Drosophila melanogaster: one gene and its partners. The protein of the gene in region 1 purifies or fractionates together with the protein of each later gene. This does not show direct contact. Each region holds a gene or a part of one and is shown in the gene's direction. Other genes may lie near its edges.

Region 1 (6,415 bases):
GCACAAGTTGACCGCCGTCCAGCTCGAAGAACAAAGGCAACTTGTCCACGCAGTAGACCATGCTCTGAACACCGCCGTGCGTTAGGATCTTCACCTGGGTCACCGCCGCCTTCGCCGGCACCAGCTGATCCACGGACACATGGGGGAACGCCGCCTCCACGCGCTGCCGGAACTTCTTGCTATCGGATCCCTTGAGGGCAGCACTGCTCTTGGGTCTGTACGGCTTGAGAAACATCTGTGTTTGGTGGTGTGCACTTGAGGAGTTCGTGAAATGGTTTGGAGTGGCACATGCACAGTGAAAACAAACAACTGGCAAACGGGGGTGCTGCTTTAGCTATTTTCTCGCCAGTTTGTATATTTAAAAAAATATCAATGGGATTCGATATTCTAAAACCAAGTATAAGAAACATAAGAATAAGATGCAGAAAAAGAAATTAACATAAAATAAAGAAGTGAGTCCTGTCTTTTCTTTTCACAATAACTCTACCCTAAATCAAAATTAGTTAAGAGCAGACGTTATTACAAGGACAGCACGCGCAGTAAAAATGCCGGCGGTCCGGAAAATTTCGAATCACCAAGGACTTCCTCAGGTAGCAAACGACAGAAAACCCAGGATCTTGTAAGACGCCATTTTATTCAACAAAACATCTGCGTAACAATTCCCCGTACACGGCCTTGTGACTCGAAGATGCGTGTTTGATTCATAGTTTTAACTTTGTACTTGAAATAAAAATTAGTAGTTAAACCCCCGATATTTGAAAAACATAGCCCGGCCCGGTAACAAGATTCGATCCTAGTCAGAATCCGAGTCGGAATTACTGTCCTTGGCCGTGTCGCGCGCTTGTGTAGGTGGATCATAGATGTGGAGGCTTTTGCGCCAGATCTTCACGAGCCCATCGAAGGCGCGGCGGCTGTACTTTCCATACTTGTTCGGGGTGCGCGGATGATCGCGAGTCCGCTCGTCCTTTGGCACCATTTCCACATAGCGCTCGTAGGCGGCAGTATTCTTTCCGTAATCTATTTGCTTCTGCCTGCGACTTAGGATGGCGGGATCGGCTTCGGTGTAGGAGGATGACGATGAGGTGGAGGACGTGTAGCTGTTGTGGCGCACCCGTTTCTCCTCCTTGTGGGCGCGGAAGTTGCCAGACTTTTTTGAGTTCCTCGAATGGGGATTGTTGCCGCCTTTGGGCGCAGCTGCATCTCCGTTGGCCGAGGAGTTGCTGCTGTTTGGACTGTTGGAGCGACTGTTCTCGTTGCTGGGCGGCGTGAACGAGTGTCGGCGCTTGTAGGGCGTTTTTAGCTTCTCCTCCTTGACCAGGCGCTCGAACTTTACCTCGTTGACGCCATCCAGGAACTCAAATGCCATCTCCCGGCCCTCGCCATCTTTGGACTCCAGATTACCGTCGGCTGTCTCCTTTTTGGCCAAGGAACCGCAGCTGGCAGCGCTGCTATTCAAGGAACTGGAGGCCTGCACGTGCAAACAAGAGAATTAATTGTGTTCCCGATCGTAGCAGCCAACCTTCACTTACCTCGTCACTGTGGCCAAACTCCGCGCGGACCTCCTGGGCCCAGCTCTGCATGGTGGGCTTCACATCGATCGAAATGGAGGATGCTGAGGAATTCAGGCTGCCGGAGCCTTTCTGCGGTGTGTTCTCCACGGACATGTGCTGATCCTCGCAGAGCATGTTGTGCAATTATCTTTCGTTTGTTTACTGTGCTGTGTATGATGCGGTCCGCTGCTCCAGGATGTTGTCGCGGCGGTGTTTTGCGTTTTCTGCGCAAACCTTCGCGCGTTTTTTGTTGTAGATGCGATGCTCAGTGTGCCCAGAAGTGGAGGTGGTAAGAAGGCGGCAAAAAGGTACCACAACACAGAACAACCTGGTCACTCACAACTAATTTCAAACTATGCTCCAAATGTATTACATTTCATTTCAATTTTGTTAAAATTTGATGTCCAATACATATTTAAACATACAGAAAATTAACAGCGATTTTTAAATTGTCTGAGGGAGGCTCAAACAATATCGATGCATCGGTACACATCGATAGCAAGACATCGAGCAACCAACCATTACCAACACTGTCTGCTTACCGAGTGATTTAGCATTTTTTCGGCACAAAAGAAAACTGAAAATTAAAACGGTGCAATTGTTGGTTAGTACGCAAAAGAACGATTTGTTTTCATAGCAAACGTAAAGTTTTCGAGCCCAAGTTGAACATACGTCACTTTAAAATCCGTAGAACATATTTTTGACTGGAAACAACGCAGCTGGAAAATGAGTCTTACGTCCGCCGCGGGGATAATTTCCCTACTCGATGAGCCAATGCCGGATCTTAAGGTGTTCGCCCTCAAAAAGCTGGACAACATCGTGGATGAGTTCTGGCCGGAGATCTCGGAGTCCATCGAGAAGATCGAGATGCTGCACGAGGATCGCAGCTTCCCCGAAAACAAGCTAGCTGGCATGGTGGCCTCCAAGGTGTTCTATCACCTGGGCTCCTTCGAGGACGCTCTGACGTACGCCCTGGGCGCTGGTGATCTGTTCGACGTGAATGCCCGCAATGAGTACACGGAGACCATCATTGCCAAGTGCATCGACTTCTACATTGCCCAGCGGGTGGAGTTCATCGAGAACCCTAAGGAGGCGAGTGTCGTGGACGAGCGGCTGGAGGGCATTGTGAACAGGATGATTCAGCGCTGTCTGGACGACAACCAGTTCCGCCAGGCTCTGGGCATCGCTCTGGAGACCCGTCGCATGGACACCTTCAAGGACGCTATCATGAAGTCGGACGATGTGCGTGGCATGCTGGCCTACGCCTACAACGTGACCATGTCCCTCATCCAGAACCGTGGCTTCCGCAATGAGGTGCTGCGCTGTCTGGTCAGTCTGTACCGTGATCTGGGTGTGCCGGACTACGTGAATATGTGTCAGTGCCTCATCTTCCTGGAGGACCCCTTCGCCGTAGCCGAGATGCTGGACAACCTCACACGGTCCTCGGTGGAGACAAACAATCTGATGGCCTATCAGATTGCCTTTGATTTGTACGAGTCGGCCACGCAAGAGTTTCTGGGCAATGTGCTGCAGCACCTCAAAAACACCGCTCCTATCCCAACCGCCCTCCCCAGCACATTTAAGCCCCAGGGTACCACCTCCGAGGATGGTGCCAAGTCGGAGGGAGACAAGTCCAAGTCTGACGAGGATATCACAGAGGAGACGCCAGGTAAACCCGGTTTTCTAATCCAGTCCCTTAAAATACTTATAAATCGCATTTTATTCACCTAGCTGATGATAAAGTAGAGCGCACAATCGATTCCCTTAACGAGGTTGAAAAGTTGCATCAGAAGAACATTGAAAAGCTCATATCGATCCTCTCCGGCGAGGTTTCCATCGACCTACAGCTCCAATTCCTCATCCGCAGCAACCACGCCGATTTGCAGGTCCTTCGAGGCACAAAGGAAGCGGTCCGCGTGTCTATCTGCCACACAGCCACTGTTATTGCCAACGCCTTCATGCACAGCGGCACCACCTCCGACCAATTCCTGCGCGACAACCTCGACTGGCTGGCCAGGGCCACGAATTGGGCCAAGCTGACGGCAACCGCTTCGCTTGGAGTAATTCATCGGGGTCACGAGAAGGATTCCCTGGCTCTCATGCAGAGCTATCTGCCAAAGGAGGCCGGTCCAAGTTCTGGTTACTCTGAGGGTGGTGCCCTTTATGCTTTGGGCTTGATCCATGCGAATCACGGAGCTAACATTATAGACTACCTGCTGCAACAGCTGAAGGATGCCCAAAACGAGAATGTGCGTCATGGCGGCTGCCTGGGACTAGGTCTCGCTGGCATGGGCACCCATCGCCAGGATCTGTATGAGCAGCTGAAGTTTAATTTGTATCAGGATGACGCGGTTACCGGAGAGGCGGCGGGCATTGCCATGGGTATGGTCATGCTGGGCTCCAAGAACGCCCAGGCCATCGAGGACATGGTGTCGTATGCGCAGGAGACGCAGCACGAGAAGATCCTACGCGGCCTAGCCGTGGGCATCTCCCTCACAATGTTCTCTCGTTTGGAGGAGGCCGACCCCCTGGTGACCAGCCTGTCTTCCGACAAGGATCCTGTGTTGCGCCGCTCGGGAATGTACACCATAGCTATGGCCTACAATGGTACTGGTAGCAACAAGGCCATCCGCAAGCTGCTACACGTGGCCGTCTCCGACGTAAATGATGATGTGCGACGTGCTGCTGTGACAGCCATCGGCTTCATCCTGTTCCGCTCTCCGGAGCAGTGTCCCTCTGTGGTCAGCCTTCTGGCAGAGTCCTACAACCCGCACGTTCGTTACGGAGCCGCAATGGCTCTTGGTATCGCCTGTGCCGGCACAGGTTTGCGTGAGGCCATTGCCCTGCTGGAGCCAATGGTGAAGTTCGATCCGGTCAACTTTGTGCGCCAGGGAGCTTTGATCGCCTCTGCCATGATCCTGATTCAGCACACGGACCAGAGCTGTCCCAAGTCCACCTTCTTCCGTCAGCTGTACGCCGAGGTCATTAGCAACAAGCACGAAGATGTGATGGCGAAGTACGGTGCCATTTTGGCTCAGGGTAAGCAATATAACACGATCCCTTTTCGTTATTTATGCAATTATATTGAAAAGCTAATTAGTTTGTTAATTTGCATCTATTAAACATTGGTTTCCGTAGTTTTCCCGCCAAGCTTCGAGATAAGATTAGTAGATACTCAAAATTATAAATATTCCATTTTTAACTAAGCGAACGACTATAGGTATTTTTGTAGGAATTGATTTATAATTAGTAATCGTCCTTTCCAGATCTTTCTAATTAGGCATTGACTATTTCCAGGTATTATTGATGCTGGTGGCCGAAACGCTACTCTGTCCCTGCAGTCCCGTACAGGACACACCAACCTGCAGGCAGTGGTGGGCATGCTGGCTTTCACCCAGTACTGGTACTGGTTCCCCCTGGCCCACACCCTTTCCCTTGCCTTCACACCCACCTGTGTGATCGGCCTGAACTCCGATCTGAAAATGCCCAAGATGGAGTACAAGTCGGCGGCCAAGCCCTCGTTATACGCATATCCCGCCCCACTGGAGGAGAAGAAGAGCGAGGAGCGCGAGAAGGTGGCCACCGCAGTTCTGTCCATTGCCGCCCGCCAGAAGAGACGCGAGAATGCCGACAAAAAAGAGGATGAGAAGATGGATGTGGACGAGGACAGCAAGGAGGGTGCTGCTGTCAAGAAGGACGAAGAAGCCAAGGCCGATGAGAAGATGGTAACGGATGAGAAACCCAAGAAGAAGGATGAGAAGGAAAAGAAAAAGGAAGAGGATAAGGAAAAGGAGGCAGCTGGCACCAGCAGCGAAAAGGATAAGGATAAGGAGAAGGACAAGAAGGAGAAGAAGGAGCCAGAGCCGACCTCCGAAATCCTGCAGAATCCCGCCCGCGTTCTTCGCCAGCAACTGAAGGTCCTTAGCGTTATTGATGGCCAGTCGTATGAGCCGCTGAAGGATGTCACTATCGGTGGAATTATTGTATTCCAGCACACTGGCAAAGCAGAGGACCAGGAGCTCGTTGAGCCAGTTGCCGCATTTGGACCGATGAACGACGAGGAAAAGGAGCCGGAGCCCCCAGAGCCCTTTGAGTACATCGAGGACTAAATGGGCATGCTGTTTGTCATTATCTAAGTGAATCCTGTTCGATTTTCAACCTTGCTTACGTTTCATGAGAACAACTAATCGGCAAGAACACGAAATGCTAATCCCTAATTATAACACAATAAATGGTCATCATATTAGATGTAAATAATGTCTACTTTGGTTTATGGTGGTAGTCGCCAACCTATTTTTTATCTCCTTAGAACTCGATCAAGAAGATTGTTTCGCCACCCGCCGAAAGATCCGCCTCTCAAACATAAATAAGTGATTTCACAACGCTCGGCAATTGCCCACAGTCTCTCTGAATTTGTAGAAGCGCTCTCTACCATGGCCGTTTTTTAAAGGGGATTGGTGCACCGTGGCCTCAAGGTAAACTTATGTTTGGATTTTAAGATGGTTAATTGCAATCGAATCGGGTTGGTATTCAATTATTATAAATATAAGCATATGATCGTATATGCAGTTAAAAAATGATCTTTGGAAATCATATGTTTTTAAGCTAAATGCCCATGTGCGTTGCCAAGGGAACTTGATATTTGCAAACAATTATTCAACAAGTAAATGATCAATATGTTTATAACTTTTATGGCTGGTTCCAACCACTTTCGTTGCAAAGAAGGGACAAATACAAACACTATATAAATCACTGTTATTATCCGTGGACAAGCACTGAAAAGCAAGTGCACTTCAACGGTGCGTCGGCCTAGAGATACCGTGTTGAAATCAGTGCTTCACTATTTGCCCTCCTACTGCTTATGA
Region 2 (3,029 bases), on another chromosome or scaffold:
TATTGTGTATCTGTGTCCGATTCAAGTGTTTGAATTCCTCGGCTGAGTTCCTTTTTTCGGGCTCTTCTGCTGCGCTTCGATCACTGGAATTTTAAAACCGGATGCGTGTCATTCCTCTGCCCCTCCAAGCCCGAAAATCCAGGGGCATCAGGAATGCGGCTGCTGCTTCCTGCGGTTCATCTCCCTCCTCCGCTCCTCTGGACTCCTCTGGGTTCGAATCTGGTCTTAGTTCTTGGCTCGTCTCCATGCCATCTAATTTTTCTATGCCCATAATTTGTACTTCCCGCCTACCTCTTTTGCACGGGACCTAATTTGTAGATTCCTCCGCTGCTGCGGTTGCTGGTATCGACTGACTGGCCTCTAGCAGGTATAGGTGTATACTCGCCATATGGAAAGGGTCTTCCGGTATAGTTTGAATTGGTTAGGTTCGGGGTACGAGGCGATTACCATGGATACCTGGTCGGCCAAAACATTAATTACTTTGCAGTGCGCCTGTTCCGGTCCCTGGGGAGTCACCCTGTTGGGACACCCTGACTATACCTCTCTGTAAATCTACCTAAATTTTTAATGTTAATTTGAGCTTAATATAACCAACTTGTTTCTTGGTTTGTCTTCCGGGATGCATCTGCATCTCCTCTGCTTTCTGCTTTTTGGGAAGTTTAGGTCTTAATCTAGATATTAACTTCTATCTGATAGATTAGGCAGTGTTCACGTTTAATTTTATTAACTAAAGCCACATAAAAATGCATCGGAATAGAGTTTAATATTTTCACTGGTGTATCATTAATGTGAGTGACACACTAATTTCTATGATATTTTATTATTTAGGGTCTCTGCAGCCAATCGTAGATGGGGTCTAAGCCCACTTTGGTGACGGCGCTGGCCTCCACGATGGTCACCTGCTGGCGGATCTGTTTTTGCAACTTCTGCATCTGCAGCATGAGCAGAGCCTCGTTTCGCATCTGGCGGTAGGAGTAATCCATTTTGGCCAGTACCAACAGGATCTTAGTATTATGCCTGCGACGAATTTAACTAGTGCATGAGCTTTCAGTTCATTTCCACCTTACTTACTGCAGACGCGGCTCGGTGAGGATTGAATAGAAAAGAACGCCGGCGGCTGAAATCTGACAGAGATTAGAGGTGTCCACGACGTAGATCAGCTTCTTGACATCCTCGAAATACTGCCTCCACAAGGGGGCCATACTCCCTCCAATTTCCAGGATCTGTATGGACTTGGGCAGATTTTTACCGCCATGAGGAATGTTAGCTGGAGCTTCTGAGGGAGGAGGCTTATTTTTATCCCCATTTGGCGATTTTGTTGGGAAATGGATTCGGTAAATCCCAGTGCCAATGGTGGGCATGGAAAACGTGGTCTCATCGATGGATTCCGGATCCTGTAAAGCTTTCAAAAGGTGCGTTTTGCCCGCTCTTTTGGGGCCCAAGCAAATGCAGGTGGACATTTTTGCTTTTACTTGGATTTTATTTATGGATCTAACAAAGGTAGCCTTGGTTACCAAAGTTTATTAATTAATTAATTAAATTAAAATTGTAAAAGTTAGTTCAGTAAGCACGTACATGTTGTTATTTCTGGCTTATTTTATATATAAAATATTTACAAATGGTTGAACATTTAATATCAATCGCGTAATCGAAATCTTGTGTCAGTAGTTCAATTATTTTCTGCATGATGGCGCTCTCAGGAAATCAGTGCAAACGTTTGAACTGCGTGCTTCGGGAGTCACGAAACTCGGAACCATTCGGCCACACTTCATATTAGCACATCAATGCATAATGACTATCGATAAAACATCGATGTATTTTTCATCGTTTTTTCATGCTGTCTCATCGTAAACAATATCAACATTGTTAAACGCTTTTAAATTCTCTCAAAAAATGAACCACACAGCAAACAAACCTCGACAAATCGGATTCGACAGGCAGTTCTCAGCGGACGTGAACGGCGTTCCCACGGAGATAGTGTTCCACTGCTTTGCCAAGAAGTGGTTCTTAGTCATAACGCAGCTCGGCAAGATTCCCGGCATCTACAACGTGCACTTCGATGTCAAAAAGGACGAAAGAGTGGTTCCCTATTTGCACGGACCCGTGGACAATCCGGAGTTCCACGTATCGGTGCCAATCACGATGAACTGCTGCTTGGGCTTGGACACCGACGAGACTCGCAGCGCCATACAGTTTCTGGTCAACAGAACCGGACTCCACAAGTGCCCGACGGAGTTCGTGGTGGGCTTGGGTCTCAAGAAAATCGACGGACCCAATCTTCGTGCCCTAGCTAAGGTCCTCGAGGAGACGTTATTCTAGTCTGCGTTCGTTATATCCAATAAATATTAGCTGTGACAGTTTTTGTAAAAAAAACCTTGAACATTTTAATCGTAGCCTTCAACCCGGCTGACCAAATTATTGGCCATTCTACTGCAACCTCTTTCATGTGCTTAAAAACCCAAAATAGAATCTACTCACAAAAAGGCAGTGGAATGACCAATAACATAGTAAACCATAATAATTCTGCACCGTTGTGAAAGGAATGAGTCTCGATAATTTTTTAGCAAACGTCTTCTATATTTCCTCACATTTGTACATTAAAAACGTGTACGCAGGTCGGGAAACGGGTACACGTCCACCTCTCGAGGATTACAGCACAAACACAACGGATGTCCGGTTGTCGAGAAGTTCTCTAGAGGATTTAGTCGAACAGACCGAAGCCCATGTCGTCGTCAGACTGGTCGGACTCCTCCTCCTTCTTCTTCTCCTCCTTCTTGGACTCGGCGGCTGGAGCAGCGGCGGCGGCAGCAGGGGCAGCACCACCGGCGGGAGCGGCACCAACTCCGGATCCGATGTTGGTGATCAGGTCCTTGACGTTGATGCCCTCCAGGGCCTTGGCGAAGAGACCGGGCCAGTAGGGCTCCACCTCGACGTTGGCGGCCTTCAGGATGGTGTTGATCTTCTCACCCTGGTGAATCCAAAAAATAAGATCAGCACAAGTTGCAGCAGTGCGAAAGAAACCATAGGAC
Region 3 (3,314 bases), on another chromosome or scaffold:
GCCATCTTCCCCAGCCATACTTAATGTTTAACTCCAACCTACTTCAATATTGTAGAATGTTTTCTTATCCTGTAAAGGGGCATGTTGTAAACTGCCTGGTAATCTAATTTCTGGTAAAGACCGAGACGTAATTTGATGACCTCAGGTGAATCGGTATTTCCAATTGGTATTATCCTTTCAATGCTTAATAATAAATGTTACATAAAATTGTACAGGCATCTTTTTTTTTATTTAAAAACTGAGTGGTCTTTAACTTATTCTTAACTAAAGCTGGCCATAATCTTTGAGCAAATTCCTTCCAGCGCCTCAGTGGTGACATTCTTAAACTCAGTTAAATCCTCGCCAGAATCGCAGGCTTTGGATATCTGTTGATCCAGAGGCAGGGAGCCCAACAGCGGGATTCCCATTTCGGCGCACATGGCAGCGGCTCCTCCGGTTTTGGCTGGAAAGATTTCGGAGCTATTTCCACAATGGCCGCAACGGAAACTGCTCATATTCTCGATCACGCCCACAATGGGGATATTTTGCTTTTTACAAAAGTTGATCTCCTTGCGCACGTCCAGCAGAGACACCTCCTGTGGAGTGGTCACCATCACGGCGCGCAGGGACTCCGGGTTGGCGTCGTCTTTCAGGTACGAAACCACAGACAGGTGCTCATCGGAAGTTCCAGGTGGTGTGTCCAGTAGCAGGAGATCCAGATTTCCCCAGTCCACCTCGCTCAGAAACTGCCTGATCATGCCATTCTTCTTGGGTCCTCGCCAAATAATGGCATCGTCCACAGAGCCCAGAAGAAATCCGATGGACATCAGACACACGTTGTCTTCGATTCCCACAGGTGACCAGCCGTACCCAGACTGGTGGACACTCTCCCCCAGGGCGCCCATCAAACGCGGTTGCGATGGACCGCAAATGTCGATATCAAGCACGCCGAAGTTACTGTCCGGATTACTTCTGGCCAGATAGCGGGTTAGCAAGCTGGTTACCGTGCTCTTGCCAACGCCGCCTTTCCCGGACAGGATCAGCAGCTTGTGTTTGACATCTTTCATGGATTCGACCACCAAAGCCTTGCCGGGATCTTCGAGTTTCTTGTTGGGATCGCTGCAGAGTCCTTGGTTGGGGCAGCCCGAACAGGCACTTCCCTTGCCCGCCTCCTCGCTCTCGACGCCAGGACAGTGTTCCGGAGGTGGTGCCTGCATGGCTCTTAGTTTCAATAGTTCGAATTCCGTAAACTAATTGTGAAATGAAATGATAACAAGGGAACAGTGTGGCCAAGTTATAACCGGGCACTCAACAAGTGTTGATTAACTGCGATTAAAATTAAAAATAATATATAACTAAGATATTCAATTTTATTAATAATTTAATTTATAATTATAATTTATATAACATAATTTTTATGTATATGTAAATATTCATATTCATATTAAAGGAAACAAAAATGGGTTTATTAAAAATAAAGTTTTTTTTTATTTAGACAAAGTTGAAACATTGAAATAATTTTAATTTTAATTTTAGTAAGCAAGTAAACTTATAAGATTTGAATATCATACCAATTAGGTATAATTGAAAATTAAGTATAATTAAGTTAATTTAAAATGATAAATAATAAATATAAAATAAAATTATAAATATGTGTTAGCTTATATTTATTAGTATCTTTTCAGAATAGCGGTATTTTTAGCCGCCCAGCATACGGCCACTCTGCATTTAACTTGCTTGTCATCGCATTCGGCAACTCACAAACAACTTGTAATTTTCGTTAAAAAACCCCGAAAGTATAAATATAATTGCAACATGGAGACTCTACTGGGTATCAAGGGCCCTGACTTCGTGATGCTGGCGGCGGACACCACCCACGCCCGATCCATTATAGTGATGAAAGAGGGTAAGCCCAAATGGTGCTCATTTTCTTGGCGGCTTGGGACTCATTTCGTTAGTCTCCTTGAATTTCCATTGCAGATCAGAACAAAATCCACAAGGTGTCGGATAGTCTGCTTATTTCAACCGTCGGCGAATCGGGCGACACGGAGCAATTTACCGAATTCATTTCGAAGAACATAGCGTTGTACAAGATGCGCAATGGCTACGATTTAAGTCCACGTGAATCGGCTCATTTTACTCGCAAGAATCTGGCCGAATATCTTCGCAGTCGCACGCCCTACCAAGTGTTCATGTTTGTGGCCGGGTAAGGATCATGAGATCAGTCAATCCATTTGCTTTCCGTGCCTAATCTGTTTCTTCTCCCCAAAGCTACGATCCCAACGCGGGTCCGGAGCTCACCTTCATTGACTATTTGGCCAATGCACTGCCTGTGAATTACGCCGGTCATGGCTATGGTGCGATCTTCGCATCCAGCATCTATGACCGATACTGGCACCCCAATATAACCCAGGCGGAGGCCTACGACGTCTTCAAGAAGTGCATTGCCGAAATCCAGAAGCGCCTGGTCGTCAACCTCAAGAACTTCACCGTCGCCGTCGTGGACAAGGATGGTGTGCGAGATTTGGAGCCAATCAGCGCTGCTAGCCTGGCCGCTTAGTTAGGTTTTGATTTAAGCATTTAAAATGCAGTTTTGTAATAAAATGCGTCTGGATTCTTGGCTAATTTAATACACGAAGGTGGTTTATCGGTTTAAAAAAAAATATATTATTGAATTAGCGATCAGTCGGGCAAATTTTGTGTTCTAGACGATCATTAAGTAATTTCAATATTCAAGAAATCGAATTATAAAATTATATTTTATATCTTAAAAATGAATCTAATTTTAGTATACTCGTGGTATTTTTATATCCCTAGTATTTTTCATCGCACCGGTGGCAGTCACTCTAAAAGTTGTTATACAAAATAAATAGTATTTTTAACACAATATGAGCCTTGAACAACAGCCAGCCGTGGATCCCCACAATCCCCATGGACTGGGTGAGTCCTCAGAATAATCGAATATGACCACCAACTGACACTGCCCTTGCTAGGCGATCCAAATGATACTAGGTTGCGCAAGGTGGAGCGCGAAGTGCTGATACCCAAGATAATGCGCGATCGTGCCAAGACGGAGTTCTGCTCAAAGGAGGTGGCCGACTTCCAGGAGTGCTGCAAGGCCAGCAGTATACTGATGGTGGCCACCTGTCGGAAACAGAACTCAGCCCTGAAGGAATGCCTCACCCAGTGGTATCAGAACGAAGCCTTCAAGGAGGAGTGCAAGCAGATATATCTGCAGGAGCGCGCCGACTATCGCAGCACTGGCATACCCAAGAAGCACCGGCTGGAGAAGTTGTAGAGTCCCTGAGTAGTTCCTTATTGTTGTTTGCTTTGTA
Region 4 (3,938 bases), on another chromosome or scaffold:
AAACATCCTTTTATTTTGTACTTCAATTTAAAGAAATCATCTATTGATCATCTTTTGGAATCTCTTGCTTTTACCCATTAATTTCTCTGAGTGCGTATAAAATAGAAGAGAAATATCAGCCCAATCAAGCTGTTTTAAAAGGAATTCCCTCATCTGAAGAGTCCCCTAGTTGAACCCACGACTCTTCTCTTTTTTGAATACACATCTTCGACTTTTATGCATTTATTGCTGTGAAAAAATGTTAATTCTCGACGTTATATTTTTATTTGACTTTTACATATCGATCTTCTCGCCCTGAGATCTCCATCTCCATTCGACCATACATAGTTGGCTCTTGGCCATCCTTATGGCCATATATTGGACTGACTGAATTGGTTGATTCGCCTCGTACTGGTCTACTGTGTATTAATTGGTCAAAGGCAGTAAAACAGAAAGTAAACGTTATAAATCAATCGTGGTATGAGTTCTTTTGAACTCTTCAAGCGGCAAAATTCACAGGGAACTGAAATGATTGTATTAACAAATAAGTCAAAGGAACGATGCTAGTAAGCTAAAATCGATGCGAGTAATTTGTGTTTATTCTAACTTAATTTATTTATAGACTTATAGATTAAATCACCATAAGTTGCATCCGAAAGAATCGCATCTCAAAGTAATAAAAACTAACGATATTTTTATCAACTCGACGCCATAAATATGCCCGTTGCGATATTCTTATTGTAAATTCTCGAATTGTCTGCTGATTAAATTTACTTATCATTTTGTCAGTTTCTTAATATAGAATTCATTCATTAAAAATAGGGCTGATCTTTTAAATTATCTAATACGTTTTTGTATCAATACTATAGCTATACATGCTATAAACTATTTGACTTTGTATTGCAATGCTCATCCATACCAATATTAAAATGATTAAAGTTGTAAATTACAAAGCAGGAATGTAGTTCGCTTTTTTCGCACTGTAAAATTCAGTAAATGGGCATAAATCATAATTTACGTACTACCTTTTAGTCTAAAGTGAAGGTGAAGATCCATCCATCCGGTTGATGTTTCCATTTGGATTTTCAAGTTCAGATTGGATAGGATCGGATCGGTTGGCCGGAGACAGTTTGGGCTATTGTGTGCGGGAGTTTGATTAACACAACATCCACTGGCCGAATCTTTATTAGTGACCATGCACTAATTAAGCCCTGTCGTGTGATTTGGTCTCCTCGCATTCGCATTCGTTCGCGTTTGTCACTCGATGCAAATGAATCGCGTCTCTGTGGAGCAGAAGATCATAAAAGCCGCTAAAAGGTGTGGGTGAAAAGAAAAACAAAACCCCGGCCAGCCAGCCAGCGGATTCAGTTCTTTTGTTGATCGAATTGATTAGAGCTGCGGCCGAGATCGATACGTTTGTATATTTCGGATGTGCGTTGCTGGCCAGCGAGGGTGTAATTAATCACAACACTCAAGTTCGTCACTTGACCGAAGTGTTAAGTGCGCTAATAACGCCAATTTGCATAGACCGACTTTTACCCATCAACACGATTACAATTAAAGTGTATTTCAAATAGTGCTGCGTTGTTGCTATATATATAGAAATATTTTGTTTAAATAATCAAATTGGATTGGAAAATTTGGAGTTCATAATTTCAAATCGAAATTCACTTGTCGGACATGCCGCATTTTTGTACCCTGCAATGGTTTGAAACCGAGCTAAAATTTATGTGGGTCAAAATGGATTGAATCCATGTTAGCATTGTCTGGAGCTGCCATCCTGATTTCTACACATGTAAAGAGTTGCCAGTCTGGTTTCTACACTACTGGATTCTATTCTAGTCGATAAGTTGCTTTCTATTCGATTATCTTGTCAATTATCGTCGATATCGAGTAGGCATCGACACAAGTACCAGCTCTAATTCGCACGGAATTTGTTTGTCATTCAAGAAACAATTATAATTCGCCGCATTTTTATTCTAAAAGCGCTTACGAATATGGTAAGTACCTCGCCGAGTGCATTTAGTAGAGCCGCTAACGAAACGAAAACCCCTCGCAATACAGTATCAGCCATCACTGAAAGTCCAGCCCGCCGAGGTGTCCGTGCTGAACGCCACCGGCCGTGTGGGAATGCCCACCGAGGCCAACTGCCTGAACCAACTGGCCCACGTCCACCGGCTGCGCGACTCGGAGCTGAACTACAACGAGCACCAGTACAACCGCAACATGCAGATGCTGCGCAACCACGAGGGCCTCGGCGTGCCCCTCAAGATGGGCATGGAGCGCTTCGCCGCACGTCAGGTGGGCCGCCTGCCCTTCCTTTCGTCCAGGTGAGCATCTAGCCCGGTCTGGGAGCTTCTCAGTCTGGACAGGAATCTCTGCAAGGGCGGAAGCATTCAGAAATCTTCTGTTTCCACATTATAAGAATCCCGGAGAAACCTGAGATATCCTACAATCTAGAAAATCTAAACTTCTTGCCTAATAATGGATACCTATATACGTACATACATACATACGTGTATACCAAGTATACCTGTGATTCCCATAGTACCATTATTACCGAAAACCCAGCAATGACTACTTATCTTCTATATTAATTCTTTCCTTTATATTGCAGCAACTTCATGGACGATGTCCTGACTGGCCGCTGTGATTCCATTGGCTTCGAGGACTTCATGAACTTGCCCGAGAACAGCGAGCATATGCGTCAGCCCCACGCTGTGGTGGAGAAATCTCTGGGAATTTACCAATAAGTCCCTGCAAATGAAGTTGCTAAATGCCTGGCATTCAGCCTTTAAACTCTAAGACACTCTTAAGATCAGCAAATAAAATATATTTTGGTGCGACCAGCTAGAGGTAAACAAAATTCACCATTTCTTTGAGCCAAATTTATTCGTATTTCGTTTGTTTAACTCCACATCAATACATTTAACTAGTTCGTTAAACTTACACATTTTATTCAAACAAATCTAAAAACTACACGAAAATATTGGCAGAAGGTTGTTGTACTGAGGAGATTCGTTAAAATAATAAACTGAAGAGATATGCGTTGACATCATTCATTATTTGTAAAAATAAAACAAGAGATGGTAAAATGGACGAATTCGTTTCGTAAAATTAGGCTTATACTTAAGGAAAACTGAATTGTAAACGGAGGGCGCATTTCAACTTATACAAACATTGCATATATACATGATTTATATTTAAAGAGGAAAATGACAGTAATTGAGATAAACATAGTTAATAAAACGCATTACATTCCTCAAGCAAAACACGTCTAATCAACAATAAATATTGAAATCGCTAGCGTTTTAAATGCTCTTCGCTAAATTTGTATTGTGTTGCGAGTTTAAGCTTCAATTACTGGAATTATCCCTTTAATTGTGATGATAGGCATTCGATTTTTATAGTATATATTCTTCAATATGCATAAAGGCGCAATTGCAAAGGGTCATGGGATTCTAGTAGATCCAGTTGACAGGCACCCACTGCTCCTCGTGGCTCATCTGATCCAGCGTTTCCACCACCTGGCGGAACGTCTCATCGAAGTCCTCGTTCACGATGACCATGTCGAAGTATTTCTCATACTTGCGCTGGACGAAGCTGCTCTCCTCGACGGTGGCGACAAGGTCGTCGTCCTGTTCGGAAAAGTCATAGAAAGCGAATGTGTTAAGCAATGTTTGGGTATTCAGGCAGAGATCTAACAGGGCTACTAGGGTGGCCTAGGTGCGCCAAGCGGATGATTGAGTTGAGCACAATTTATACGACACTGTAATTAAGGATAGGTCAGGGCACATTACCTCATACAACGACGCTAGGGACTCGAGCGTACGGGCGCGTCTGGAGCTGAATCTTATGGAACTCTGGCGATCAAACTGTGGAATATGTGCTCGCATTAGAGGAGTGCCTAGTCTAGGGGGCTACGTGAAACATACAGATAAATTCCGGTTGGAGCCCGT

The links.
Region 2: the proteins of Rpn2 (region 1) and CG11885 purify together in Drosophila melanogaster (affinity purification with mass spectrometry, with the first as the bait; one large-scale study listed by BioGRID). This does not show direct contact.
Region 3: the proteins of Rpn2 (region 1) and Prosbeta4 purify together in Drosophila melanogaster (affinity purification with mass spectrometry, with the first as the bait; one large-scale study listed by BioGRID). This does not show direct contact.
Region 4: the proteins of Rpn2 (region 1) and Pomp purify together in Drosophila melanogaster (affinity purification with mass spectrometry, with the first as the bait; one large-scale study listed by BioGRID). This does not show direct contact.

The regions. Positions count from the first base shown.
Region 1 is NT_033777.3:29,151,455-29,157,869, forward strand, and holds Rpn2 (regulatory particle non-ATPase 2), read left to right. Parts: upstream 1-2,069; 5' UTR 2,070-2,154; exon of another isoform or gene 2,155-2,241; 5' UTR 2,242-2,276; coding exon 2,277-3,219; intron 3,220-3,281; coding exon 3,282-4,589; intron 4,590-4,847; coding exon 4,848-5,659; coding exon of another isoform or gene 5,660-5,686; 3' UTR 5,687-5,801; downstream 5,802-6,415. Other genes in the region: eIF2D (eukaryotic translation initiation factor 2D), read right to left, coding at 1-235; Slbp (Stem-loop binding protein), read right to left, coding at 794-1,468, 1,530-1,685. UniProt on the Drosophila melanogaster protein: Acts as a regulatory subunit of the 26S proteasome which is involved in the ATP-dependent degradation of ubiquitinated proteins.
Region 2 is NT_033779.5:420,231-423,259, reverse strand, and holds CG11885 (uncharacterized protein), read left to right. Parts: upstream 1-1,809; 5' UTR 1,810-1,893; coding exon 1,894-2,319; 3' UTR 2,320-2,365; downstream 2,366-3,029. Other genes in the region: CG13692 (uncharacterized protein), read right to left, coding at 825-1,017, 1,072-1,460; RpLP1 (ribosomal protein LP1), read right to left, coding at 2,702-2,968.
Region 3 is NT_033779.5:16,730,514-16,733,827, reverse strand, and holds Prosbeta4 (proteasome beta4 subunit), read left to right. Parts: upstream 1-1,694; 5' UTR 1,695-1,794; coding exon 1,795-1,885; intron 1,886-1,959; coding exon 1,960-2,185; intron 2,186-2,250; coding exon 2,251-2,539; 3' UTR 2,540-2,648; downstream 2,649-3,314. Other genes in the region: glu (gluon), read left to right, coding at 1-31; Nubp1 (NUBP iron-sulfur cluster assembly factor 1), read right to left, coding at 261-1,196; CG17996 (uncharacterized protein), read left to right, coding at 2,868-2,919, 2,973-3,277; Tsen2 (tRNA splicing endonuclease subunit 2), read right to left, coding at 3,295-3,314.
Region 4 is NT_033779.5:20,785,807-20,789,744, forward strand, and holds Pomp (pomp), read left to right. Parts: upstream 1-1,849; 5' UTR 1,850-1,976; coding exon 1,977-1,979; intron 1,980-2,043; coding exon 2,044-2,309; intron 2,310-2,596; coding exon 2,597-2,732; 3' UTR 2,733-3,292; downstream 3,293-3,938. Other genes in the region: vari (varicose), read right to left, coding at 3,441-3,617, 3,780-3,854, 3,915-3,938.